Oryzias latipes: one gene and its partner. The protein of the gene in region 2 interacts with the protein of the main gene of each other region in a pairwise test. Links are inferred from orthologs where the notes say so. Each region holds a gene or a part of one and is shown on either strand. Other genes may lie near its edges. The genes, in order: cytosolic arginine sensor for mTORC1 subunit 1 and zc2hc1a.

What was found.
Region 1: the proteins of zc2hc1a (region 2) and cytosolic arginine sensor for mTORC1 subunit 1 interact in binary tests that used the Homo sapiens proteins (3 or more experiments, as listed by UniProt). The two-hybrid records come from large-scale screens. The link is inferred for Oryzias latipes from reciprocal best matches to the Homo sapiens genes ZC2HC1A and CASTOR1.

What each region holds. Positions count from the first base shown.
Region 1 is NC_019867.2:3,181,877-3,185,944, forward strand, and holds the start of cytosolic arginine sensor for mTORC1 subunit 1, read right to left. Parts: upstream 2,801-4,068; 5' UTR 2,579-2,800; coding exon 2,463-2,578; intron 1-2,462. UniProt on the Homo sapiens protein: Functions as an intracellular arginine sensor within the amino acid-sensing branch of the TORC1 signaling pathway. As a homodimer or a heterodimer with CASTOR2, binds and inhibits the GATOR subcomplex GATOR2 and thereby mTORC1.
Region 2 is NC_019878.2:13,234,159-13,244,236, reverse strand, and holds the start of zc2hc1a (zinc finger C2HC domain-containing protein 1A), read right to left. Parts: upstream 5,576-10,078; 5' UTR 5,478-5,575; coding exon 5,462-5,477; intron 4,854-5,461; coding exon 4,780-4,853; intron 3,658-4,779; coding exon 3,541-3,657; intron 2,775-3,540; coding exon 2,748-2,774; intron 1,575-2,747; coding exon 1,433-1,574; intron 1,314-1,432; coding exon 1,171-1,313; intron 1-1,170.

The DNA of each region.
Region 1 (4,068 bases), on a different chromosome or scaffold from region 2:
TTTTAATTTTAGACTTTGTCTTTTCTTGTTGTTGTGCTTGCAGAAACCCGTCCTCAGCGGGATCAAATGTTGTGTAATGGGACGGGGAAAAAAACAAACTCTTTCCTTGAAGCAGGAACCACCAGAGATGTGGAAGCAACAGGTATTGAGCGGCAGGCCAAGCGAGAACTGAACACACAATGCTCTGGACTTTGATCCAGCTACACGAAACAACAGGAGGGCGAAGGACTGTTCCTGAAGGTGGTGTCAGTCAGGGGGGGGGGGGGTAACTGATGTTCCAGCTGAAGAAACACGATAAGAGCTGGGAAAGCTGATGATGAAGAATGAGGCTCCAGCTGCCTGATGCAAGTGGAGAGAGCTCCCCAACGTCGGAGGGCCATGGAAGCAGACAAGTGGAAAACTCCCAACTGAGCTCCTGACTCAGCTCTGCTTTGTTCAGAACATGAGGGGCCTAAAGAGGAAACATTGACATTATGGGGGATCAAAAATGCTGAGAAGATGCAAGGCTTCAAATGAAAAAAAAACTACAAACAATGAAAGAAATCTCAACAGTTAGTCACAACTGGCCTTACAGGTGGATACGGGCCATCTGCAGCGGACAAATGGGCAAACCTGTACGGTGATTGACAGGTTGTAGTGAACACTTACTCATCGCGTGAAGGTCAGTAAGGGTAAAGTAGGAGAGACATAGACGTGTCGTGCAAATTTTTCTTTTTTCAACCCGCATCGAATCCTGCAGACTGCCCAACGAGTCCGCTAGTGCTGTTCCTTCTGACAAGTGTGCGGTCCTGTTGTGCAGCCCGCCTCCTAGGATTCAGGAAATCAGACAGTGTTGTTTGTGTGGACATGCTAAAAGAGTCCTATGGGGACTTATGTACCACATGAAAACCCCACGCGCATCACATTTGCACACGGCCAGTAAAGAGCCAGCACTCGCACCGTACCAACAACTAGTGTTAGGGCGCCGTACGACAGCATCACCGTACGTCATCAGCATCTTCCATGAGCCTTAAGGCCAAATCCAAATGATTCCTCTCCATCTGTAGGGGTATGTGGAGCTGTAGAGGTGTCTGAACTTGTTTTTTTTGTAAAGGGGTAGCTAAAGTGACTTAGGACTGAGAATCCCTCCGCCGGGAGGGTGATCAGCTTCACGTGGGAACTCTCCGCTTGGAGGGCTAAATGTAGGGATTGGAAGAAGCCTTGAGGCCAGGGAAAGACTTTGTATTGTGCCGAAAACTTCATGATACAATTACCACACTCATGACAATGGAACAATCGATTGCCATGAGGTCTCTTGAAGTGGCCACAACGAGCCTAAAGGGAACTGCAAAACACACCCTTCTTTCTACGACCCTCCAAGGGGCCCGGACAGCTCAAAAACCTGCAGCACCTGTGCATGCAGGTGCTTGAGACTAAGGCCTTATTTCCAATCCTTCCACTGATGGAACAATTACGGAAAAGGTTTTGGCTGGCCTTAGTAGAGTAGAACTACTTTAAACCTCCAGCTCAGTGATGGATGCTGATGAAGCCTCATCCATCACTGAAGCGTTTTTCGTAGAATAACAAACGCGTTAACCATCCCAGGCAGTAAAAAACTCGGTTTTCCTCCATGAACGCTTTAGAATGCAGGCAACTTGTTTTTTTTTTTTTAACTTTTGATTTAAAAAAAAAAAAAAGAGACCAGAAAATAACCGTCAAAAGACGCTGAAAAGCAAAATGCAAAATGTTGAGGAAACTCCAAAGTGAGAACAGATCAAAACATGAAAATAGTTTTAAAGTCTATAAACAGAGACAAAAAAACACCATCGGGACAAACGACAGATGAACAAGTGGAGTTCATGAAGATTCAACTGCCCTGCAGCTCCACTGATGGATCAGAAATAAAAGTAAAGGGTGGTGCACGCCACCTTGGCACAGCGTACCTGTTGCAGGACATTTCTCAACAGTCAAGAGACAAGTGAGTACAGATGTTTGCTCGTTTTTCAATGCCAGGTGACAAAGGCCACTGCTTGCAGGTAGACAGATGCTGGACTCGCTTTGTTTGGCTGCAGAAAGCTGGTCTGAGGACAGATGTTGAGCTGCAGGAAACTGCAGGACAGTAGTGGGATGTTCAGGGACTGATTGGAAACGCCGGATCCTAATGCTAATATGAGATGTGGAGAACCAATCAAGTCCATGCAAGCTTGGAGTGAAGAGGTCAAAGGGCACTGGAGAGATGATGGGGCATTAAAACAGAGCTAAGACCCATCCAATTAAAAAAAAGAAAAAAGCAGGAAGACATATTGTTTTAATGTTACTGTCAAAAGCAGGAGTTACATTTCTTTGGTTGCTTCCCTCATTCACTGCACTCGATTATTCACTGAGGTGGAGCAGGACATGCTCTGACAAAACAACCCGCCTAAATGCCTCTGGAGCTCGCACATCTGCACCAGATTACCCCGGCAGACACGGAGCCTCCTTACCGTGTTCGGTTCCGCAGAAATATCAGCTTGATGAGGGGGTGTGTGAAATGCTCCAGTCCGCTCTTGGATATGCTGGTGACCCGCAGCCGGTGGTCTAAAATGTGCAGGTCCATCATGTTCCCGGGGACGGGCTGCCTGCTCAGCTGGCTGCTGGCTCTGTGTGTGTGTGTGTCCGCGCGGCTCTTAGTTCCTGCACGCGGCGCCGGCAGCGGGAACGTCTTCTGGGCCGGCAGGTTAGAGGCGGGCCTCGGTGAAGAACATTACCGACCACCGTAAACACGTCGCCCCGCTGCGCCCGTTTGACAAGACGACAAACATCCGACGCGCCGCTCAACTACTGTCTGTTTAATACCAGGGGGCGGAGCCACGGGGACACGCCCCCTTGTCTTAAAGCTGCAGCGTCACTGTGGTAAATTTTCCACAATAAAAGCCCAAAGTTGACTATGACCGAATTCCATCACTACCCCCTAAAAACTAAAAATCTGCATGGCGTGGGACTATCTAGTGTCCTGGATTTTAAAAGCCATTTAAAAGCAATTTTTTGAAAGGCAAATATGACATTTTTAGGAAAATCATTCATGAATCCAATGTGATCTGATGTTTTAAACCAAAATTTGTTAATACTCAATGCCCTGTATTCGCCAATCTAGTGAGGTTTGACACACACCGAGAGACTTCTGGGAAAGTTCCCGAAAACTGGATTTTGGAATTGTAGATTCAGGCTGTGTCCGAATTCCCACCCTAACTCCTATATAGTGCACTATATAGTGCGTTCGCCTTTTTGTAGTGCTGTCCGAATGTACAATTCTAAAATGGAGTGCCCTAGAAATATCCGCTTTTTAAAAAAAAAAAAGTAGTGGACATGGTGTCTGAATTGCTTTTAAAATTCAGGGCACCACGTAGTGCCACACTGTATAGTTTTTTAGTAGTTAAGGGTTAGGGTGAGATTTTGGACATAGTGTCAGACACCCCGACAAAACGGAGAATAGTGAACCAACTGGGGGTGGTGAGGAAATTCAGACACAACTTTAGAGCCCAACTTTGTTAACCACAATAAATGTCAGAAAATGGTCACCTAGGCGGAACTAAGCCTGCATTCTTTGGGTTTGATATCGCAACAATCCAGAGGTTGCAGTTCCACAAATGACCACAAGAGGATGGTTTCAAATTGGCACAATTTTCTATTTCTTATGTTAAAAAGGTCAGAATGGAATTGATTTCAATTCAATTTTATTTATATAGCTCAATATCACAACACAGTCGCTCAACAGACTTTATACCGGTAACTTTATAAGAACATGAAATCAGTCATGAAATGTAATATGCAATGACTAAACTAAAATAAATATACTACGCTACACTGAGCATCCCTGCACTAAGACCCTCCTTCTTGGTAATGAAAAACTGATTCCTGGGGAAAAAAAAGAAAGAGGAAACCTCAGAGATTTCCACATGGAGGGATCCTCTCCCGGGATGGACAGGCGACGAACCAGAACTGTTAAAATTTTTAAACGTTTTACAGAGAAACTGATTATTTTTCATCTTTCTAAATTCCTTTGAAAAGCATCCGTGAGAGGAAATGCGATCGTCTGTAACAAAGTTATGC
Region 2 (10,078 bases):
TGGGATGAGGGTCAGCACCGCTAAATCTGAGGCCATGGTCCTTGACCGGAGAAAGGTAGTTTGCCATCTCTCGGTCGGTGGGGTGTCCTTGCCCCAGGTGGAGGAGTTTAAATACCTTGGGGTCTTGTTCACGAGTGAGGGAAGATCGGAGCGTGAGATTGACAGGCGGATCGGAGCAGCGTCCGTAGTTATGCGGTCGCTCTATCGGTCCGTCGTGGTGAAGAGAGAGCTGAGCCGAAAAGCAAAGCTCTCAATTTACCGGTCGATCTACGTTCCAGTACTCACCTATGGTCATGAGCTATGGGTCATGACCGAAAGAACGAGGTCCCGAATACAAGCGGCTGAAATGAGCTTCCTCCGCAGGGTGGCTGGGCGCTCCCTTAGACATAGGGTGAGAAGCTCGGTCACCCGCGGAGAGCTCGGAGTAGAACCGCTTCTCCTCCACATCGAAAGGAGCCAGTTGAGGTGGCTCGGGCATCTAGTTCGGATGCCTCCTGGACGCCTCCCTGGAGAGGTGTTCCGGGCATGTCCCACTGGGCGGAGGCCCCGGGGAAGACCCAGGACACGCTGGAGAGACTACGTCTCTCGGCTGGCCTGGGAACGTCTCGGGGTCCCCCCAGAGGAGCTGGAGGAAGTGGCTGGGGTGAGGGAAGTCTGGGCATCTCTGCTCAGTCTGCTGCCCCCGCGACCCGGTCCCGGATAAGCGGAGGAAGATGGATGGATGGATGGAGTTTAAAAAAGTATACTCTTAATGACCTTCGTCTACATAGGAGATGAAGATCTAACATAAAAGAGCTCTATCCGAATGGTCAAATGCATAAACTGATATATTTGATTCGTGAAAGACTTCAACCTGCCATAAGATTGTTTTAGCACATTTACCATTAATTGTCGTAAATTGTATTTATTTTATTGTTTTCGCCGTCTTTTCCGATATTCGTATTGCACAGCTTGATATCGCGACGATACATTTCCGATTTATTGTGCAGGGCTAGTGTGTGGCCCTTAAGCAGACTGGCGACCTTCATCCAACCGTAGCTGGATTGGGGATTGGATAGATGGATGGATGGATGAATGGATGGATCTCAGTAAAGTACAGGTGCAGACTTTTTTTTTTTTTTTTTAAAAGCCCAAAGTCAATGTTTTTCTGCAGACAGTCACATTCTTTACCTGTGTGCGACCCGGCGTCTTCTTGGGATCGCCTAACTTGCCTTTGGTGGGTATCCGGGCAGCTTGTTCCTGACAGAATTTAATGTGTCTGTCGGCAGCACTCTCATTGAACCTCCGCTGACAGTATGGGCACTGGATGTAATCTAGAGAGGAAGAAATATTTCATTTAAAAGGTTTGCAGCACAAGCAGAAAAAATATCTAATTCTAATGGAGAAGTGAAATTGAAAATTGTTAGAAACTATCCCCAAAAGCATCTCCTACCTGGGTCATACGAAGGGGGGGGAGGTGGGGGTAAGGGCCCCCCCTCTTTCATGACTTGAGTGAGTGACTTGGCAGCCCGAATGGTGGCGATGAAGTCCTCGTGCTTCTTGCGCCAGTTGGACGGCTTCTTCGGTGGCTCTGCCTGGTAGGACAACATGCCACAGCAGATTCTGCTGACAAAGTCTGTTTTCATACAGTCGGCAACTCCAACGACCCTGACAGTGACTAAACACAACCCGAGTGGCCCAGTGCCAGATTGAATGCTAACATTTCAAGCTAAAGACTAGACTCTCATATATCCGCGAGGGAATTTCCATAAACGGGACGCTTGTTGCACTTAATGAGGTGGTTTTGCCTCCAAGCGAAAGCTATAACAGATCTAAACTCTCCCACCATCAGTGGGGACAGCTGAGTTTTACATAAAGCAGATATATTATATTATTAGGGCTGCACGATATGAGGAAAACTTGCGATATGCGATATTAGTGATCAATATTGCGATAACGATAAATTTTCGGTAAATAAACAAATAGAAAAATAAACAAAAACATCATTCCCATTTCATTGCAACAGTTTAAAAATTATACTCCAAATGACCCTCATCGACATGGGGGACAAACGTCAGGGTGGCTAACCCTGGTCCTCAAGAGCCTCAACCCTGTCTGTTTTCCAATTCTCCCTAGACTGCTCGATAATGATAACCAAAATCAGGTGTGTTCAGTCAATCAGGATGTGAAATCAATTGAGTCAGCCAATCAACAGCAAGCTGGTTAAGGAGAGCTGGAAAACAGGCAGGGTTGAGACTCTTCAGGACCAGGGTTAACATAATAGGCCTCCATCTGATTGGTCAACAATGGCAAGGCGTCCATCTGATTGGTCAAAGCATAAAGGGATTTATTTGATTCGTTAAATGCTTCAAGCTGCTAGAAGATTGTTTTAACACATTTTGGGTTTGCGATTTATTGCGATATTCGCCGTCTTTTGCGATATGCATATTGCAGAGCTGGATATTGCGATAACGATAAATTTGCGGTATATTGTGCAGGCCTATATATTATATTATAATATTCCGTCTTAGCGGTCAGCTTAGCTGACTTTCAAATCCCTTCTTCACAGTTGAAGTCTTTAAAAATACTGCTTTTCAGATTTTATTTCTTATAGCTGTCAAAGTCACAAACAGCGGTGTCATAATAACTGAAAGGAGGAATCGGGTTTTTCAGAAAAGAAAGTAGAAAGCTGTTATATTGGCAAAAAGAAAAAAGTACAGTGTGTGGATGACAGGCAGAAGAAAAAAAAATAGACTAAATCTACTTACTTTCTGACAGCCAGCTGAGCTTTGTGACTGAAATACAATTGAAATAATGTACATTTTACAAAAAGGTGCTGTTACCATAAAACACTGTATGGCTACTCAGGAACAGCAAATATTCATATAGGAGGTGATGACAAAAAGGAGGATCATTACTCGGAATCTTCCAACAGATGATTTATTGCTGTTGTTCAGTCAAGTTTGCTAAAACTTTTATTTTCTTGTAGCTTCTGGCTGGAAAAACAAACATTGAGTTTTTTTTGGGTTTTTTTGTTAAAGATAAAAGGCAAAAATCTGAAAAAATACTTTATAGAAAAAATGTTTTAATGCTGTCTAAAAGACATAGAATATTAAAATATGATTATGATTAGCAGATGTCTTAATTGGACATTTTATACATTTTTGTAACATAAAAAGAAGCTCTATTTGAAGTTTATAGAAGCAATGTGTCAAAAGTGTGAAAAATAAAAAGAAATGTCTGCTTAAAAGAACATATATATATATTTATTTTAAAAAAAAAACATTTATTTAGTGAAATTTTCTACTAGGAAAAAGTCTTTGAAATTAATTTAAAAAAATAAAATAAGAGGATCAACCTTAAAAGATGTGAAATGGAAAGAAGGTCACCGGCCTCCCAAAAGTTGCATCCACAATTATAGAAATCACTGCGGAAGTTGATATTTTTAAGCAAAAGAAAAAACATGATACAGTTTTATTTAAGGGGATCAAATTCTGGATATTTCAAGCTAAATCCTGTCATTGGTAGGATTTCCGTAACTTGATCGGGCTGACCGCTTACCTTTGGTTTGATAGGCTTGAGTACGGGGATGTCTGTACCCTCTGCCCTCTGTCTACTGGAATCAAAAACCTTCCTCCTTTTAGTTGCTGTCTTTTGGCAGATTTTTGCATGTTTTTCCTGTTGGAAAGGAAAAGCAGGTCCAAAAACAACAACATATGTCAACCATCATTATATATTTGACTGACTTTTATCATAAAAAACAGTTCAACCAATCAAAGTCTCAGGATTTTTTTGTGGCTTTTCTTTTACATAAAACCATATTTTTGTTATAGCATCGGTAATGTGTATTCATTCAAATTATTACTGTAAATTGAATTGTAAAACTCAAAATTAATAATTGAAATTAATGTGAAAAGTGCTCTGAAGCCCCTTTTATAAGTTTTTGCATATTAATCTTTAGTTGACTAGATATTAGCGCTATGTTCTTACAAACATGCTTGGGATCTAAGATCAATACTGAACTTCCGTAAACAGTTATAATGCCCATAAATAATAAATTTTAAGTGATACTGCAATAAAAAGAAGAAACAAATATTTTAAATGTGTTTAATTACCCCAAGTAGAATAACGGGGTTTACCTTCGCTAATATCCAAATGAGTATTTTTCTCACTTCTACAAGTCTTAGGAGTGTTTGAGATGTAGTGTTGGGAGTTTTTATTACAATAAAATGTTGATGTGTGTGCTAATGCAGTAGTTTAAGTAATTACTTATCTTTTTATGTAATATTTTACTTTTTACTTGTCCAGTAGTTTTGGTCAAAATAAAACAAAGTCTATTCATTTTTATGTTCTTGTACTGTTTTTTTTTTTAAAGAGCCAGTATCACTTTGTCCTGTTCTTGTAAAAAAAAAAAAGTGAGATCAAATCAAAATGATTTTATTTTGAAGGTTTTATCTCTCTTTTTTTGTGTGTGTTCTTTTTTTTAAGTCAAACAAGCCTCTACTTCTCTAATTGGTCTGTTTCTCATTGTGCTGCTGTATTTGCATTTTATCCGATAAACTCATAAAAACTGAGCATAATCCAATTGAGCTTTCTGGGCTTTCACCAAAAACAATATACTTGTTAAAAAAATAATTTCTACTTCCTCATATTGTTTTGATTTCAGCAGGTATTGGAATGAATTTAAACAATGCGATTACAAGGGGATACTTTTGAACAATAACAAGTGATATGTGATGCATTACAGCAAAAGATAGTACACTGCACAACACAGATGACATGATATTAGTTTTTCTTTACCAGAACTTTCGGGAAGAAGCATCTTTTGCAAGTATTACATTGGACCAGTTCACCCACAGGAGGAGCTTCAGCATCTGCAGAAAAAAATAAAGATTATTTAGGAAAACAGTCAAATGTGGATAGAAATAGATCAAATCCTTATTTTGACTGACTAATAGTAAATGATGTGTTAAATAAGTTTCTAAGGCTACATTTTCTATACATTTCTGTGCATGGGGTGCGTTGTTAAGATCAATTTTCGCAATATTAGACTAACAACAATATGTCAGAAAATCACAAAAATAAAATAATGCTATAATAATAATGTAAATATAAATAACTGGCATAAAAATGTCTCTAAACGTATACAAGTACATAATTGCACCCCTGCGAGTATCTACAACATTTAATTTAGCTTATTTCCCTACCAGGTTCGTCAGTTAACACCCAGTTAATGTCTTTTTATGCTAACATTAGACAGCCGCTCCCTCAAGGAATCACACCCATGCAGCCAGACAGCTAGCCTCATCTTTAGCTCCAACGTTACCTAGCATTACTTTGGCTAAATCCCAAACAAAAAAGAGCTCCCTATGGGAAACGGCTTTGCATTAAAACACAACCTCTTCGAGGTTTAAAACTGCGACGATTCAAGTTTGAATGCACCAAAAAATCCATTTAAAATAAAGCACTGGACTGAGATTACCTTCAAATTCTTCCATCCTTAGGTTATCCCTTGTTTGATGCTACTGTTATTTCCACGAGCAAATTGTAGCCGGGAGGAACAAGAGGAATCGCTCCAAATTACTTCCGGTTTCGCCGGAACAAAGAAAGTCGTCCATAAATTGTGTTTGATTTAGTTTGTAGACACACAAATGTGATAGATAAATATACATTCCAGAAATGTTAAAATTTATACAGCAGTAAAAACTACTACAATAGAAGTTTTTGTTTAGACATTTGTTTAGGCCTCTGTTTGTGTCATGTTGATGGTACCTCCACTCCCAGGCGATAACCTAATTTGTTTGCAGAGTTCGGTATTGAACTGTCTTGAGTCGATTTATCTTTGGCAACCAATGGCAACTCTCAAATATTTTAACTTCCGCATCTTTTTTTGTTTTATTGCAGAATGTATCCTAATGCGAACAGCAGGTGGAGCACAACATGCACATTTTTTAAGGGAATATTGACGTTTTGTGTGTGTAAGGAGACGCAAAATGTGTCTTCCTTTTAGGCTAAAAAGTAGAAAAACCTAAGTAACATCATTATATCCCAAAAGTCATTCATTGTTTAACTAAACATTAAGCGATCTATTAGTCAAAATGACTCCATAGCATTGTTTACAAAACATATGGGGGTAACATTTCAAACGTGTGACCAACCACATTTAAACAAAGAGCCTTTTTTGTCGAGACACTTAAAATAAAGTGCAAACACTCCACAGATATGTTTGCCACAAGGACAGCATGTGTCACATGAATCCACAGACATCTGCTTTGTGACAGGCCGGTCCTAAAAGCCCGCAGCTGGTTTCATGACAGGCGTTCTATTCTCTCGCTGACTGCCCTCTCTGTGATCCCTCTTCTGCACAAGCACAACGCTAATAGTATAAAATAATAGTCCTTACTTGTGTTTTGTGGGGGTCTCTAAGTAAAAAAATAAAAACAAAATAAATCATACTTGAAAAGAAAAAAGCGTTTTATTTTGAAAACGATACCCGGAAGTGGAATTTTCCAACTCTCGCTTAACGGCGATCCCACTAAACCAGACGGGGATACCAGAGTGGCAGAATTCCATCTGATGGGACTGACTGACCAGTGCGAGCATAGGGAGATTATTTCGCCCAAACAGGTACTTTTCCTGATCAACGTTATGATGTACAAAAAAAATGCAGAATTTACATATTTATCTGTGTAACTTAAACAATAATATCGTGCAGATGGTGCTCACAGGCACTGACCTACCACTGTGGGGGTCTTTGTCATCAGAGAAACAAATGGCTGTTAATTTATGTGAGCTCAGCCTCGAGGAGCCAGTTATTCAAACAGTTTGTAAAATGAACATGTTTATGATAACCCCCCCCCCCTTTTTTTATTCATTATTTTTTTATTAATTTTATTTAACGTTTTTTCTTCATAAAGCAATAATTTCTCTTGAGGTGAAGGTTAGTAAGCTGAACAAAGACCGATGTCAATTTTAAATTTGCTTTGCTTTTTCTTTTAATCAGACAAAAATAAATGTGATGAAAAAAAGAAAAAAGACAATAAAATAAAAAATAAACCAAACGGAAAAAAATTAGACATAACCAAATTGAATTAGAAACTGAATTACTATTAACATGAATAAACAAATCATAACGTAATCATGATGCATTTTTCTTTTCATAGCATAAACATATAAAATAAAATATAAACATAAAATAGTTGGACTACAATAGTTTTGGGTGCTCTAGAATATATCCAGTCTTTGGTCATCTGCTACTCTCATCAATAATTCCAATTTGGTTGCACAACTAATGAAATAGCAACTCAGAACAGCTATATAGTGAGCTCATCACACATTTACAAGATTATCTGAAGTCAGGGTTAGCTACATGCATGGTTTTATGTCTATATGAAACTGAATATATAAGGGGGGAAAAAACATGTAATATGTGGGATTTCAAATGAAAATGTGTTCCATTTAAGGGGTTTATGCCTAGAAATGTGCACAGATATCTTGCATATAGAATGTTATTAAAACAGTAATAGTTTTTGTTTTTTTTACAGAGAGCTGTACTCTTGTATTTATTTATTTATTACAATTTGGGTAGATATTTTATTAAACTAAAACAAGTAAAAAAACAATATGTAACAATGTATATTTAGGCATGCAGTAATTTATCTGTCAAATGAGTTTCGGTAAGGTCAGGCTATTGATGCAGTTTTTTGTAGACATTTATCATCATTGGTTAACAGATTTTAATGATCCATCTCAGCTTTTAGTCTGTCAGTAGAATAGGGATGATATAGTTTGTGTCCATCTTAAAAAAAAAAACACTTGTACGAATGGCATCAGAGTGGGAGCGTGTGCTGAAGATGACAGAAATGAGGCATTCAAAATTAGACATGCTCAATAATGGATTTCATGGCCCTAATTAAAAATGATGGAAGCTGAAGCCATTTTTAAGTTTTTCCCTGCCGGAATTCATCGTTTCCATAAATTAAACAAAATCTTGTTTACAGGTATTTTTGGTTTCGTAACCTTCAGTTTTAAGTGTGTGGGAAAAAAAACAGATTGACGTATTTTAATTAGTGTAAATGGGGCAACCCAGTCTGCACTTGCCCAGTGCTGAAGGGCAGCCTCATCCAGGCAGATTGATGTGGAGCACTAAAATGTCAACAGAAGGGTTTAACCTAAATCTCAGAGCTGCACTGCTGATCATGGCCATACTCATGCCGCGCAAGACAGCAGCTCTCTTCCTCTTTGTGTCACAATTATCCCTTTAACTTTTTTTGTTGTTATTCTTTCCCCTTTGGTTCTCCGAAATGTTTCCTCCCCAATTACTTGCTGGGAGAATTCCTCTCTCTCTCTCTGTGCCTCTGAAGTCATTCCAACACTGGATAAGATTAATATAGATTAATGAGGGATTAGGTTGTAAAATAAGAGGATGTGGAGGTGCATTGGACAATAGCATGGGGAGCCCACTTTCCTCCTGTAGCCGCTAATGTTCAGGTTGTGTTGCTCGCATGCTTCAGAGTAGCTACTTTTTACAATTTGTTTCTGTGTGTTAATGTTCTCTTTAGCTTGTAGTAAGCGTCTTTGAAAGGCAGGGCTATGCTGAGGCGTGTCAGCGATGACGGATGTCGAAGTGAGCTTTGAGGACTTCATCGCTTCCCGGCGGTCTGGCCGCAGAAATGCCATCCATGAAATCCCCACAGAGAAGCTGCAAGGATCCATGGACCTGTCACAGAGACTGGCACAGCTCACCATCAGCAAGAGCGGTGAGACATTTTACATAAACAGCTGCTTGTCTGTTGCCTGTAAAGATTTTTGTTCCTAAAACTGGTGAAGATGTATGTAAATGATTTCCTCAGCATGCATGACAGAAGGCACTGCATCATGTTACACAACAACATGGCTTTCCTCAAAAATAGCTTTTAGTTTTACACATTTTTGGATGATTGAAAAGCAAAAAAATGGTTATTTGCTTTTTTCATCTACCATGTGCCAAACACCTTACCAAGACTAAATCATTGCATCCTTTTTTCAATATTTAAATCAATTATTGAAACTAAAACTATTTTTTTTCATTATTAATTTGTGTATTTATAATTCATTACACAAACGTTTACTAAGAGTCAATAAAAATGATAGATAAACAAAACTCTTCTGGCTCATTAATTCATACTTGTTAGTTCTCACGCATGTGTGGAGCCATGATTACATTAACAGCTTTGAATTGAATTGTGACATTTTGCAAGCTTTTATTTAGAAAATTTAATACTTGTGAAAAATGAAAACTTACATTTTTAAATGTACTGTTTTCAAAAAAGGTTATTAACTCATTAAACTACTCTTAGTACTTTTTTTAATTAAACATTTTCTCATAAAAAAAATATAGAAATAAATAACAATTAACCTAAGGGTCAAGGGAAAAGTCTGTTCTGTTAATCATGGAATCAAATATTTGATTTGCAACGCTGCATCTTTACTTTTTCTTTCACAATATTTTACTTAATAATTTCTTAATTTAATTCCATTCCATTACTATCAAGGAGCATCCAGAAAGAAAAGGTTGTCAAAACAACGAGCCAGATTGTGTGAATGTAACTCGGCCTCCGTGACCCTCTTTTCTGTTCGTTAGGGGAAGAACAGGGAGACTCTGAGAGCAACCAGGACTCTTCAGCTAAGGAAGAGGAGGCTCAAGCTGAAGGCAGCTAACCTGCAGCGATCCTGTGTATCTTTTAGCAGTATAGTGTGATTTCAGTCCTCTATGCACCAAAACCATAACTATGGCAACTACGCTGCTGTTTCCTTCAATTTTCTTACCATCTTTCATAATTGACTCTAACAAGCAGAACCAGGCATTACTGGCAGAGATTCTAAAAATGAAGAAAAGCATTTGAGTGTTTTTATTTTCGTACGTTTACTGTCTATTCACAGTCTCTCAGTATTTTAGTTGCATACTTATCCTGTTATTTAGCTCAGAAAGTTTACCTTTTGGTACAAATGATTTCACAACCGCATTCAGTGGTTTTTGGGGCACACTGTCAGATTCTGTCCATATATTTGTTTCATTTAAAATCGAGTTCTTCTAACTGTTGAATGAGTTTTAAAGGTC